Stegostoma tigrinum: one gene and its partner. The main gene of each other region encodes a partner of the protein of the gene in region 2 in a complex. Links are inferred from orthologs where the notes say so. Each region holds a gene or a part of one and is shown on either strand. Other genes may lie near its edges. The genes, in order: tardbpa and annexin A4-like.

The links.
Region 1: the proteins of annexin A4-like (region 2) and tardbpa are in contact, whole or in part, in a cryo-EM structure (PDB 9FOR), measured with the Homo sapiens proteins. The link is inferred for Stegostoma tigrinum from reciprocal best matches to the Homo sapiens genes ANXA11 and TARDBP. Residues at the interface, in NP_001148.1 of Homo sapiens: Gly56, Met57, Ala59, Met61, Ser62, Gly63, Phe65, Asn69, Pro71, Asn72, Leu73; in NP_031401.1 of Homo sapiens: Ala328, Leu330, Ser332, Trp334, Gly335, Met337, Gly338, Met339, Ala341, Ser342, Gln343.

The regions. Positions count from the first base shown.
Region 1 is NC_081381.1:39,737,838-39,745,840, reverse strand, and holds the start of tardbpa (TAR DNA binding protein, like), read left to right. Parts: upstream 1-4,938; 5' UTR 4,939-5,108; coding exon 5,109-5,346; intron 5,347-8,003. UniProt on the Homo sapiens protein: RNA-binding protein that is involved in various steps of RNA biogenesis and processing.
Region 2 is NC_081390.1:18,821,297-18,828,729, forward strand, and holds the start of annexin A4-like, read left to right. Parts: upstream 1-4,382; 5' UTR 4,383-4,534; intron 4,535-4,953; exon of another isoform or gene 4,954-5,021; intron 5,022-7,433. UniProt on the Homo sapiens protein: Binds specifically to calcyclin in a calcium-dependent manner. Required for midbody formation and completion of the terminal phase of cytokinesis.

The DNA of each region.
Region 1 (8,003 bases), on a different chromosome or scaffold from region 2:
GATCAAGGGGACGATAGGAGGAGGTGTCAGAGAGTTGGCATCTGGCCTCAGCAATGTAGAGGTCAGTGCTCCATACTACAACTGCGCCTCCCTTATCTGCGGGTTTGATGATGTGGTTGGGGATCCATCCCCTATTCCTAATTCTTTTGCCTCCGTCACATCTGCTCCCAGGATGAAACATTCCACTCTCATACATCCCAGATGTCCTCGTTCTTCAAGGACTGCAACTTCCCCCCCGCAGTGGTCGAGAACACCCTCGATTGTATCTCCGTAATTCCCCCAACTCATCCCTCACACCCCGTCCCCGCAATAACCGCCAAAAATGAATCCCCTTTGTCCTCACATTCCATCCCACCAACCTCCGGATACAACGCATCATCCTCCGACACTTCTGCCATCTACAATCCAACCCCACCACCAAAGATATTTTTCCATCCCCACCCTTGTCTGCCTTCTGGAGAGACCACTCTCTCTGGGACTCCCCTCCAACCCCAACCAGCACCTTCCCCTGCAACCGCAGGAAATGCTACACTTGCTCCCACACCTCCTCCCTCACCCACATCCTAGGCCCCAAGATGACCTTCAATATCAAGCAAGTGTTCACCTGCACATCTGCCAATGCGGTATACTGCATCCGCTGTACCCGTTCTGGCTTCCTCTACATTGGGGAAACCAAGCGGAGGCTTGGGGACCGCTTTGCAGAGCACCTACGCTCGGTTCGCAATAAACAACTGCACCTTCCAGTCGTGAACCATTTCAACTCCCCCGTCCCTTCCTTCGACAACATGTCCATCCTGGGCCTCCTTCAGTGCCACAATGATGCCACCTGAAGGTTGCAGGAACGGCAACTCATATTCCGCTTGGGAACCCTGCAGCCCAATGGTAGCAATGTGGATTTCAGTAGCTTCAAAATCTCCGCTCCCACCACTGCATCCCAAAACCAGCCCAGCTCGTCCCTGCCTGCCTAACCTGTTCTTCCTCTCACCTAGCCCCTCCTCCCACCTCAAGCCGCACCTCCATTTCCTACCTACTAACCTCATCCCACCCCCTTGACCTGTCCGTCCTCCCTGGACTAACTTATCCCCTTCCTCCCTCCCCACCTATACTCTCCTCTGCACCTATCTTCTCTTCTATCCATCTTCGATCCACCTCCCCTTCTCTCCCCATTTATTTAAGAATCCAGTCCCCACCTCCCTTTTCTGATGAATGTCAGCTTTTGTGCTCCTAAGATACTGCTTGGCCTGCTGTGTTTATCCAGCTCCACGCTTTATTATGACACATCACCCATCTAGTTTGCTACCTATCCCATGTGGCTCACAGTCGTGACACCTTTATTATAAAATTCTGAATTGAATTAGCTTTTTGTCACATGTATGAGTACAGTGAAAAGTTTACAAGTCACCACTTAAAAAGCGCCATCTTAGGTAGAAGATATGATACCTTGATTTTAAAATTCTCATTTTTATTTTCAAATTTTTCCACTGCCTCACTATCTCTATTGCTTCAAGATTGTCCAGACCTACACACTTTCAGATATCTACATCTCTCAATTCTCGTCTCGTAAATATTCTTATTTTGAATTGCTCCACAATTGGTAGCGGTGCCTTCATCTGCCTTAGTTGTTGATCCTTTTCTCGTCTTAGCGGGTTTAAGTATTCAGACCCAAGAATCTTAGAAATAATGAGACCGGACTTAGTTAACCAACCAAAAGGAAGTGGTGAGGGGAGGTACTGTTGAAAAGAATCCAACTTGCTAATGAACTCAGATGCATGAAGTTAAAAAGTACTTACATCCACAACTGATTCAACCATGTGAGAGGTAGTCTTCAGAGGCCAAATGAGTCATCTCTCTCTCTCTCACAATTACAGTAATCAATTTCAAAAGTCACTGTCCTATATACAGTATAAACCTGCACATGCTGAATTGGGGATGGATTCTCATTTTCAGGTCCTCATCAGGACTTGGTTTAGATTACAAATTAGGCAGTTGTTCAGAGTATTTAGCTGTTAGCTAATTATTAGTCATGTTTATCAGGTCAGAGACATCGAAGGACATGCTCACACATCTGTCTTTCCAGACTTCCAAGGCCGATTTCAAAAACATTTTAATCACCCTCTTTTCTCTTAGGTCTGATAAGGCTATCTAACTTAATCTGGGAACAAGGCTGTTCTCATAGTTTAGCAATCTTGAGAAAAACAAGAAACAGAGAGAAAATGCTGGAGAGACTCAGCAGATCTGGCAGCATCTGTGAAAAGAGATTAACAGACTTAATGTTTCAGGTTTGATATGACCGTTAGAATCTTAGTCTTACAGTATAGAAACAGATCATTTGGTCCAACTCATGCATGCTGACCAGACGTCCCAATCTGATCTACTATCATTTGGCAGCATTTGACTCATATCCCTCTAAACTCCAAATAAAAATGAAAAGAACTGCAGATGCTGTAAATCAGGAACAAAAACAAAGTTGCTTGTTAAGTGGTCTAGGCCCAAAACCTCAGCTTTTGTGCTCTGAAGATGCTGCTTGGCCTGCTGTGTTCATCCAGCTCCACACTTTGTTATGTTGCTGGGAAAGCTCTGCAGGTCTGGCAGCAGTTGTGAAGAAAATCAGAGTCAATGTTTCAGATCCTATGGCCCTTCCTCAGAACTGGACCAGACCCCCGCAGTGGTCGAGAACGCTCTCGACCGTGTCTCCCGCATTTCCCGCACCTCATCCCTCACACCCCGCCCTCGCAAAAACTGCCAAAACAGAATCCCCCTCGTCCTCACATGCCACCCCACCAACCTCCAGATACGACGAATCATCCTCCAACACTTCCGCCATTTACAATCCAACCCCACCACTAAAGACATATTTCCAACCCCACCCTGGTCTGCCTTCCGGAGAGACCACTCTCTCCGCGACTCCCTTGTCTGCTCCACACTCCCCTCCAACCCCACCACACTCTCCTCTCCACCTATCTTCTCCTCTATCCATCTTCGATCCACCTCCCCCTCTCTCCCTATTTACACCTCATCCTACACATGCGACTGTTAAAAAGTTAGCCCTCAGATCCTCTTTAAATCTTTACCCTCTCACCTTAAACCTATATCGTCTAGTTTTGAAACCTCCCACCCTTTGAAAAAGAGCTTGGCTATTCACCTTTTCCATGCCCCTCATGATTTTATTAATCTCTAAGGTCTCTGATGCTCCAGGGGAAAACGCCCCAGTCTATTCAGCCTCTCCCTATAGCTCAAACCCTCCAGTCCCAACAACATCCTTCTAAATCTTTCTGAACCCTCTCAAGTTTAACAATCTCCTTCCTATAGAACAGCAACCAGAATTGTACACAACATTCTAAAAGTGGGCACCAATGTCCTGTCGAGCTACGACATGACATTTTACCTTCAAACACAACGCACTGACTAACGAAGGCAAGTAAGCCGAATGCCTTTTTCACCACCGTTTCTACCTGTGACTGCACTTTCAGGAACTTCAGTCATATTGGGCTTGAAATATTAACTTTTTTTCCTCTCCAGAGATGCTGCCAGATCTGCTGAGTTTCTCCAGCATTTTCTGTGCTTGTATCAGATTTCTAGCATCTACAGGAGTATTTTGATTTTATTTGAGAAAATCAAGCTCTCTCTCCCTGCCACTCTATGTCCCGAAGCTCGATCGACCAGATCGGTCAAGTTTAAAAAATCTATATATACCATCATGGCTGGATAGCCAACGCAGGTCTGAACGTCAACTACAGTTTATTCTACAGGATCCATATCCAACAAGGTTCTATGCCCCCAAATCCCCTTCCGAAGGCTCTACCTTTGTTTCTTTAAAACACTCCATACAACATCCCTCTGATCAAGTATGCAGCGTCCTAACATCTCTTAAAACAAAGGACAGAAACTGCTGTAAATACTCTGAACGGGTAGCAACTGGGAGCAAAGAAATAGATCAGGCCTTTCAGGTCAGAACTAGTTCAGCAGCAATTAGTTTTTATTTCAGACTTCCAGCATCCAATGTATTGCTTTGGTCGTAATGTGTCCTTCTGTGGTTCAATGCCAAATATTGTCCACTATGCCATAAGAGGTCCGTCTCGAGGAAGGGAGAGACAATTGGTTTGATAGCTTGAGGGGTACCACCCTTGAGCAGGTCCCAAGTCTACCTCAGTCAGGAACAGACGCTTGGTGTTACTAAAGCAAATGCTAGCCGTGCAGACAGACCTAACCAGCGCCCTTGTAGGACATTAAGGTTGCCATATAAATGCAAGCTGCTAGTGTACATTTACCTCAGCTGCAAAAATATCTGTAAGGCACAATTCACTATTGTTGTCACCAAAACAATGAAGTGATTGAGTCACTTTCAACTGTTAGCTATGCTCACAGGGAATATTTCAGAGCTGTCTGCCCTAAGAAAGAGTGTTTTCTTTATAGTCTTGCCCTGACATTAAGGTTAGGCCGAGCTTTTCCAGCAATTTTTGTTTTTATTAAAATTAGCAACTGTGCTGAATTGCATTGGAATAATAACCATTAAACATTGACAAAACGATAAATTCTTCATAGAACAAGGATTATAACATTTACATTTTCACCCATTTAGGTGCCAAACTCCCTTTGTGTAACCAGACACCTTACCAAGCAAGGAGGGCGCTTCCATCCTAATACAGGGGAGATTAATAAAACAGATATAACAGCCAGCACGAACAAACACGACAAACATTTTGCCTTCAATCAATAAAAATGAGTATAATGTATCTCATAATAATGAATTAGAATAATGCATACATCAAGCACGCAGGAGGATTTTTAATTAACAATATGCACACTGACCCCCCCCAGTAACAAATGAAAGACGCCCACCGTGAGCCTCATGTCATGTGGTGGGCTGACGTTCAACGCGCCAGACGGTGACGTTTCGCACAGACTTTGATGACGGAGCGTACGAACGCCCAGGCAGAGCGCGTGTAGTGGGGTTGGAGGAGCCATTTTGTGCGCGCTTTTCATCGAGTGAGGAGGCAGCTTGTCGCTGTCCCGTCAATCCGCCGCCGCGCTTCACTGTTCATCAGGGCTCGTCCCTTCTCTTTGTTTCTCTCTTTGTCTTGTTCCCACCCCAGCTTTTCACCCTGGCGATGGCAGAGTATATCCGTGTGGCGGAGGAGGAGTCGGAAGAACCGATGGAGATCCCGAGCGAGGACGACGGCACGGTGCTGCTGTCCACGGTGACGGCGCAGTTCCCGGGCGCCTGCGGCCTGCGATACCGTAATCCCGACAACCAGTGCATGCGAGGCGTGCGCCTGGTGGAAGGCATCCTGCACGCCCCGGACAATGGCTGGGGCAACCTGGTCTATGTGGTTAACTACCCGAAAGGTGCGGCCCCCGTGGTGGGGGGAGGGGATGGGGAGCGAGGGTCGGTTCGCGCTGAATGGCGGCGACGGTTTACTCCCTTTCCCCAGGGATTTGGAGGCGGGGGGCGCGGTGTGCTTGGCGACGGAGAGGAACGGCAATCTTTTTATTCAAAATGCATGGTTTTTTTTTATTTAGCGACACCGTCCCGAGAGCCTCGCTTCACCGCTCGTCTGCCGGTGCCCAGCCGCCATTTGCTGAACACGCCGTCGCCTTGTGCTTTCAGCTTGCACAAGCAAATTAGTCTGATTGGCTTCGATCAAGCGTTAAAGTCGTTCCGCTAATTTCCCCCCCGCCCCGGGCTGCAGCCTCTGAGTTCTCCTTCTCAAAAATCGGGAGTGAAAGCTTATTTACTATTCCTAACTCTCTTTTTTTGCTTCCCTTATAAGCTGCTGGCTTTGTGCTTCAACTACGCGACCGCCATTTATGCTCCGCTTCCATCCCAACCAGTACGCCCAACGTTGCCGTAGTCCGTATTGGTTCGGATATATGAGTAGCAGTCCATAAAGATTTACTGGATAGAAGTCTACAAAACCAGAGCATTTCTATGCAGTAGCCACTGCTGATATCGGGGTTGATATTTGCAGTTCTGATGTTTTAACTTGTCTTTTGTAATCGTTTTAACTGTTGATTTCCTTTTTGGGGGAGGGGGGGTGGTAACCCGTGCTGAAGATCTTAAAAGCTCAAGTTTTATTGCTGTGCCCAGGCACAGGCTGAATGTCAGAAGGATTTCATTGTCACCCTTTTTCAGCAGTCAGACAGCTTCCTCTGATAAAACACAATACAGTTGCTGGAGATTTGCAAAGAAACAAAAATTGTCAGAGATTTGTCAGGTCTGGCAGCAATTCTCAAAAGGTCGCAGGGCTAAAAATGTCAATTCTGTTACACTTGCCTCATGTTGCCAGACCTGAGTTGCTCCATGAACTCTTTTTGTTTGAGTAGATTATTATGCTGCTTGAGGCCAATATGAGCCAAACTCATTGCTATGGGTCTGGAGTGATGAGGATCAGAGATTAGGAATGCTGCACATCCTTACCTGAAAGGTGACAATTAGCCAGATGGTTTTTCTAGAATCCAGTAATTTTGTGGTCATTATTAGTTTTACATAGTAAATTTGGTTACTTAACAAAACTAAAATTCCCCAGACATGTAATTCTAACTCTCTAAAGTAATGGACCTCCTGAATTTATATTAAACACTCATCCCTTGTTTCAAGTAATAAACTGCAGCAGTGCCAATGTTCTAAGTTATTGAAATGTTTCTGTTACCTAATGGACTGTTGTTGAACAGAGACCTTATGCTTCATAGTTCTTGAAAGTGGAGCCCCAGGTAGATAGGATAGTGAAGAAGGCATTTGGAATGCTTGCCTTTATTGGTCAGTGCATTGAATGTAGGATTTGGGGGTGGGGTGGGGGTTAGGCTCATGTTGCAACTTTGAGACATGGGTTAGACTACTTTTGGAATACTATGTGTGTTTGTAGTCTCCCTAATCTAGGATGTTGTGAAATTTGAAAGGGTTCAGAAAAGATTTACAAGGACGTTGTTAGGATGGGAAGGTTTGAGCTATAGGGAGAGACTGAATAGACTGAGGCTATTTTCCCTGAAACATTCTAGGCTGAGCGCTGACCTTTACAGAGTTTATAAAATGATGAGCGTGTGAATAGATAAGGTCTATTTTGGCGATTCCAAAACTAAAGGGTATAGGTTTATGGTGAGGTGGGGAAAAATTTAAAAAGGGCCTAAGGGGCAACAGGACCTCACAGCACCAGGGACCCAGGCTCGGTTCCAGCCTTGGACGACTGTCTCTATAGAGTTTGCACGTTTTTTTCTGGGTGCTCCAGTTTCCTCCCACAGCCCAAAGATGTACAAGTTGGGTGGATTGACCATGCTCACTTGCAAATGGTGTTCAGGGATAGGTCTGGATCGGATGTTCTGAAGGTCGGTGTGGACTTGTTGGGCCAAAGAGCCTGTTTCCACACTAGGCATTCCATGATCTAAAACATAGGAACAGTAGGCAGTTCAGACCATTGAGCCTGCTCTGCCATTCAATGACATTGAGTGATCCTCAACTCTGCTTTCCTGCCTTTTCCCAATAGAATTTATGTTCTGAAGGTTTATTTTTCCCTTAAGTATACTTGATTGCCCTGCCTCAATAGCCCTTCAAGGAAAAAAAAATTACAGAAATTCACTGCCTTCATAAGAAATTTGTCCTTGTCTCTGCCTTAGATATGTGAACTCTGACTTTGAGATGATGTCCTCTGGTCCTAAACTGACCCACAAGGGGCAACAACCTTTCTGTACTACCCTGTCAATGCACTGCGAATTCTTGTACATTTTAATAAAGTCAGCTCTGCTCTGAATTGCAGTGAATATGGACACTATCTACTCAGCTTCTCATAAGATTTGGCTGTTAGCAGGTGATTGCCAACAAGTATCATCGTCCACCTGGGAAATTCTGTGTCACTGGGCATGAGATATGTGGGTCTTTGCATGGTTGGTGCCAACTAAATGAACCTTATATAGCCTGCCTTCAGTGCCATTATATCTTTCCTTAAAGTGTCCAAAACCGTTCACAGTATTCCAGCAGTGGTCTGACTGTTCAATAGCTTTTGCAAAATCAT
Region 2 (7,433 bases):
TGGTAACTGAAGAGAAATAGCACAAAAAATTGTAGTTTAACACAATCACCTGCAAATGCCAATTGATTAAGAAAAATAAATTTCAAACTCTGTATTAGTATGTTGACATTATTTTGGTTCACGTGCCAGTCTCTTGTCTTCTGACCTAGCCAGTATCCCATTTGCCCTATTACTGTTTCTGTCGAATATTTTTCTGTGTACATGATCTTATCTATGTGAAACCTGACAACCAGATCCCACAAATCTTCAAATTATACCAGTTGTGGCTAACACACTTCTGTGAGAGACACCCTGGACATATTTTGTCACATGTCTTTGAGTCTAACCCAGTGATATTTTAATGGAGAGTGCATGGCAACATGGAGATCTCAACTCAACATGTTAGTTAAATAGTGCCGTAAGCAAATTGCATTCAGGAGAATGGAAGCTTCTATGTGGCTATAATATCATGTATAGTGTTACAATTAAAAAATCAAAATTAGGATGGGTGTGAAGCAAGTAGCACAGATGAGTTTAAAAGAGGATTTCAAAGACTCACTGTGCACTCTGAAAAATGTAAACAGACAACTGATGATAGGAAAAGTTTACAGGTAAATGATTAAACTAACAGAGGTTCTTTATTGACTTTTGGTAGGGCCTCATTTCTATTTGTCAGATAATATTTGAGAAGCAGCCCATAAATCAAACAATGATTGTTCTTTCAATTAAGAAGAGGCAGAGTAGGAATCAGGATCCGTGCGAATCATAGAAAATGGACTTATTTTTAGATGCAGTTGTAAGAGCTTAATGTATATCACTTGGATTTGTTGAACCTTGGAACTATTTATAGACAATATTTTTAGAATGAGTGCTGGAAACTGTTAAAGTTTATGTGCCTTTCAGTGGTACCACAAGTCAACCTTATACAAAGACTCTCATTCACAAGACCCATGAACACATCTTTCTTTGGTTGTGTCTACACTTCAGACATCAGACTGGGAAACTTGGCGATGTCTCGCTCCTAATTGAAATTATGAACCTATGCAGAGAGCATCTTGCTTAAAAATAAATTGAGCTCTGTTGTTAAGCCATACGGATTAGGAGAAAGCTATACTCTCAACATATTTCAAAGTCTAGGTCAGTTTGAAAATACCCAGAAGATCCACAGCAATATTTAAATACATTTGTAACCCAGGTTGATGCCACAAATGAGTGACAACGTGGTTCTCTCCCTCAGAGGTTTCACACCGCTCCATTCTGAAGTCAAATCTAGATCCAGTTCTGGAGTTATGCAGTCAATTTTGCATTGTAACAGTTAGGACAGTATCACAGTAACATTATATCTCCACCCTTTGTGTATCATATTGTCTTGTTGCTCCCACAGCAGAACAAATAATATGAACAACAAAAGACTTCTTCATGGAGAGATAAGATTCTTTAAAGAAGTGACATTACTTTCATTGTAACCAAACCACACACAGGAATTCTTTAAAGTTCTCTTAAGCAACCAGAACTCATTTGATGCAATTCCTAAAATAAATTATTTTATTCACAATGAGATCACATTTTTCAGGAACACAATAGCAAGGTTGCTTTTATATTATTCAATTTCTTGTAAAATTTACTCCTGTTCAGCCATTGATTGGATAAATATGTAGCGATTGTCCAGGAAGCAGCTTGGGTGGAAAAACAGAGTTAATATTTTAGGTTTGTGACATTTCTTCAGAGCTGGAAAATATAACAGGATTTAAGCAAATAGAAAGTCATAGAAAGGAGAGAGAGGACGATACAAAAGTGACGGTTTATAACAGGGTGACAGGTGTTATAAAAATAATAATTCTGAAACAGTTAATGTTGACATTGTATTCATCTCTACCCAATCTGATAGTGTCTTCACTGGAGAATCTGGCATTCTCGTTTGAGATCTTGATAGGGTTAGAAGACAAAGCTGGCTCTTGATAGACACAAGCAAATATGCCTGATCAGTCAATGTGGCTTGTATCTATTTCTGTTATGTAGGATAAGTGTCCCTGCATGTTAGAACTCACCAGGGGTCTATCTTCTGCTCTCTTCTGACTCATTGCTGCAACTGTCCAGCGATCATTTCCAGATGATAGATGTTTATGCATTTCCCAGATTAGATCATAACAGTTGGCTTCCTTTGAACAAAGGCTTTTTAATGTATGAAGTGCAAATTAGTAGAAACATGTTTATTCTCCATCCCTAGTTCAATTGAGATAATGGAAGTGAATTTCTGTTATGAACTGCTGAAGTCCTAATATTGTCAGTATTAAAATACTGTTAGGCAGGTAATTTTTGATCCAGGGATGAGGAAGTAGAGGCACATTTACAATTCATAGTTTGTGCCATTTAAACATAATAATGTTCCCATGATTTTGCTGCTGTTTTTCTCCATCTTGGTGATGACAACAAGGCTGGGCAATATTGTCAAAGCAAGCTTGGCAATTTGCAGTCTATTCTGTAGGTGGTGTGTACAGTTTACTCCTGTAACAACAGTGTGCCTCTGATGAGGTCTAGTGTGTTAAGGGGGACATATGAAGATACACTTCATTGGATTTTTTGTGAGAAAGAGCGAGAAATGTTTATTTGCCCTCTGAGACAAACACTAGTTTGATTATTTGTTCATCATGTTTGCTTGGTTTAAAGGGTCCCTGATATTGAATTTAATTGCCTAGACCTGACAGGAAGGACACTTATTTGCTTCCTGCTTTCTGTATTTGTTATATTTTGAATCAATGTACTAGCATTTAATGAGTCATGCATATAGGGACCTAAGCCCCTCCGTCCCCTTCATAATTTCTAGCCTCTTGCCATTCAGATAGTATTACAAGATCTTCGATCCTTTATAGCTGGTTACTGGGTTTTGCCAATGCACTCTAGGCCCAAAACGTCAGCCTTCTTGCTCCTCTGATGCTACTTTGCCTGCTGTGTTCATCCAGCTCTACACCTTGTTATCTCACTAAAATGATATGTCTTTTGTTACTTGTATATACTGCATTCTTGAAAGTGCTGCCTCTCAAATGGGGGCCAGACCCCTTTCACACTTTGTTCGAGTGAGGTATCAAAGATCCTGTGTCACTATTCCCAAGAACAGTAGCCCTGGCTGATATCGAGCTCTCAATCAACAACACCGCTTTCTGCTCATTATCACATTGCTGCCTTCTGTAAGACGTTGTTGTGCACGTTTACAAAGAGACAGCACCCCTGTTACAAAGGAATGTAAAAACAGTAATTATTAGAGAAACTCAGCAAGTCTGGCAGCATCTGCGGAAAGAGAAACAGAAGCAGAAGTGAAAAATGATCACTGGACTCGAAATGTTATCTGTCGCTCTGTTCATAGATGCTGCCAGACCTGTTGAGTTTCTCCAGCAGTTTCTAATTTTTAAAATTTGATTTTGACTGGCTTTGAATTATTATTGTCACATGTACCTAGGTACAGTGAAACGTTTGGTTTAGTGTGCAGTATGGGCAGATCATACCACACAAAGTGGAGAAGGGGCTCTAGGCCCGAAACGTTAGCTTTTGTGCTCCTGAGATGCTGCTGGGTCTGCTGTGTTCATCCAGCTTCACACTTTATTATCGAGGAATATAATGTTACAGCACAAAGAGCAAGATCAGCATCAAATTTGAAATTTGGGAGGTCCATTCAGAAGTCTAATAACAACAGGGAAGAAGCTGTTCTTAAACCTGTTGGGAGATGTGTTTATGCTTTTGTATCTTTTGCCAGAGGGAAGAGGTTGAAAGAGATTATAACGTGGGTGGGAGGGGTTTCTGTTGGCTGCCCTTCTGAGGCAGGGAGAAGTATAGATGAAGTCAATGGATGGAAGGCTGGATTAGACTGGAGTTTGTAACGTCCTGGTCAGAGCAGTCGCTGAAACACGCTGTGATGCATCTGTTTTTGTTTAAGGTCCCCAGCTTGTTTGTTTTGTTTCAGTGTTATACAAAGGGGCATAGTTTGAGTGAAATGCTACCGCAATTTTTCTACTCTAGAACACCAATTTGATAAAGAGCTTCATTGACTGTTAAGTGCTTTGGGACGTCCTCTGACTGCGCAGGTCCTTATCTCCTATTTTCTAGCAATTGTACGAATAATTTCTCTTCCGCAGCAGGATGAGATGTGAGGTTTCATCTGTAATGTAGCAACTTTTGTACGGAAGCTTGTTACAATTTTTTTTTAACAGAGGCGCGCTCAAGAGAACACGACTGACACTATGGACTGAGAATTTCCCCCCCAAATAATTACATAGCCCCTCTGAGATGACTCAGTCTTTCAAAATAAAGTCCCCGCACTTCCTTCTTCAACTTTACAATGCAGATAATATCAAGGCTACAACTGAACAAATTCCACGTCCTCTTTTTCCACCGTCTAATTTGTTGCTTTAGCTTCTGACGTTGTGATGGGCGGGTGGTATTGAGTAGGAAGGTCAGCTGAATAGATTTACGTCTATTTTAGTATACCGAAAAAAACAGGGCGGACGAGCTAAGAAGAGGAAGAAGTCTGCGGAACTTGCTGTACGGATCAAGCGCCTTGCAGGTAGGTGAAAATACCATCCCGATCAAAATCTGATTTGTTTTCTTTCCCGAAACAATGTATCAGTTCGTCCTCGATGTAATTGCTCTGCTCATTCTCTCTCTCCCCGGCAAAGCACATTCGCTAAACATCGCAGCTCCTGGTTTGAAACGGATTATGGTTGTGCTGGGGTGGGACAGGGGTGTGTTTGGTTGGGGTGCTGGTATGGGGATCGATGCTGGCGTGAATCTATATCCCAGTGATTAAAAGACGCTTGAAACTCACAAGGAGCAAGGAGATGGGCAACTTGCCAGCTCTCCTGTTCCCTTGCAGTTTCTTTTTATGATGACCATCGCCCGTTTGAAGCCTTTCCTTTTTTTAAGTATCTAGTGTGGCGACACTTTCTCTGAAAGCAATGCCTATCACTTAATTTCTGATTTCAGGAAAGCCAATTGATTACATCGTCTAGTGTCGACTGATCGACTTGAGAGTCCTGCAGTTCTCCTGAACAGTAAACCGCAAGCGTGTGTATCTGTGTAAAACTGTTGATTGTTTTCCCCTCATATTCTGGTCCAGTCTTGAGAATGCATTCTACTTGGCACAGAAATGATGAGCGTGTTTTAGAGAAAAAAAATCTATCAACCTATTTAGACGTCTGACAGTTCTGTAGCCATTGAATCTTAAAGTGATAATTGAAGCCTTGTGGTCTAGAAATAGGAGCACTAACAATTTGTTACAAGATGCTCAAGTCTTTTTTAATGACAATATTAGCTAATATTAATAATAATATTAGATAATATCAGAGGGGAATCTTGAACATGATCACATTTACCATCTTCTGGGTATTAAGGAGTGGGTCTGGTCTCCTGTTTTAATTTTTAGCAAAGTTATAGATTTTTTAAAAAAAACTCGCCTCTTTTGACATGTCATGACGCACCTCTGGAGCAGATGGGACTTGAACCTGGATGTTTTTTGGCTAGAAGCAGGAATGCTACCACTCTGCAACAAGAGCTTCAAGCACATGTTATAAGACAATATGAATCTTTTGAAGGGGATGTGACAAATTGCGCAGCTCAAACAGCCTGTGTAAGCATACCCAGCACCTTCAGGGTGTTAAGGTGTAGTTCTGCCCTACTGCTTTCATTTAAACAAGTTATTGAATGGAATTATCAGCTTCACCTCACATTGAATGGGATGAATCATTTATAAAATACTGGATTAGCCTCAATTTCCTTCAGTCCCAGTTAGCCCAGCATTTGTTGTGCGTCCCTAGTTGTCCTTTCAAAGGCTTGTTAAGAGTCATCTATGTTCCTATGGGCCTGGAGTCACATGTAGGCCAGACCCAGGTAAGGACAGTTGAGTTGTTGCCCAAAAGGACATTTTCCAGGGTTGGAGGGTTTGAGCCACAGGGAGACGCTGAACAGGCTGGGGCTATTTTCCCTGGAGCATCAGAGGCTGAGGGTGACCTTATAGAGTTTGTAAAATCATGAAGGGCGTGGATAGCTGAATAGCTAAAGTCTTTTCCCCAGGGTAGCGGAGTCCAAAACTGGAGGGCACAGGTTTCAGGTGAGGGGGCAAAGATTTATAAGGGACAACATTTTCATGCAGAGGGTGGTGCATGTGTGGAATGAGCTGCCAGTGGAAGTGGTGGAGGCTGGCACCATTACAATATTTAAAAGGCATCTAGATAGTTATATGAATAAGAAGAGTTTAGATGGATATGGGCCAACTGTTGGCAAATGGGACTAGATTAATCTGGAATATCTAGTCAGCATGGATGATTTGGACCGTAGGCTCTGTATCTGTGCTGTACATTTCTATGCCTCTACCAAACAATAGTGCTTCCAATTCTGGGCACCATATTTTAAGAAGAATATGAACCTTTTGGCGAGACTGTAGAAAAGATGTATAAGAGGATATTACAGGGATAGATTGGAGAAACTGGACCAGCTTCCTCTTGAGAAGGGAAGATCAAGAGGAGATTTGTTAGAAGTGTTCACAGTCATGATGGTGTCAAGATAATGGCCATTATTGGCAGAAGACTTAACAACCAATGAAAGGCAAAAGAATCAAAGCCAAATTGGGATGGTAAACCTTTTTATTCCACGAGGTTTGTTGTATCTGGATTGTGATCCCTGAAAAGGTGATGGAGACCAATGCAATCAGAGCTTTTGAAGGGGATTGAATAAGCAACGGGACAATAGATGTAGGCAGTTCTGTTTAGTGCCAACAACAGAAATTGTTGGAAAAAGCCAGTAGGTTCTAAAGAATGGTCACTGGATCCGAAACGTTAAACTCTGATTTCTCTCCACGGATGTGACTGCTCCCGTTGAGCTTTTCCGTCAATTTCTGTTTTGGTTTCTGATTTCCAGCATCCACAGTTCTTTAAATTTGTAGTTTTCCTTAGTGCCCTGGCCAATACCTATTCCTCTAGCAATATCACACAAATAGATTACCTGCTGTGCATATTACTGCTGCTTGTGAGAGCTCGCTGTGGACAGGAAACATTTGGATGGTTGAGTATAAGGGCTGGGAGTCAGATGAACCGAACTGTACTTGCAAAGTTCAAACATAACCTTGATGAGTTGAATAGCCTCTTTCAATGCTGTTACCATTCTGTTATTACCTTTGTTTATCCGTGGAATATTGCTGTATTTCAAGGATTACTTATAATTGGAAATAAAATACTTTCGTACTCCTAAGTCTGACCTTTTAAAGGTTAGAAGGTAGATAGTTTTGTTCAAAAGAACTGGTTAGGACCAGTGCAGCTTGTTCTTGCCTCTGCTCAGAGCTGGTATGAACAAGTTCAAAGCCAAGCTGCAAACATTAAGGCAATAAACCAAGAACCAATTGCCAGGTAGACGATTCATGTTGTAGAATATGTTTTGAAAAGCATCGCTTTCAGTGTTGGTCTGAAATGTTA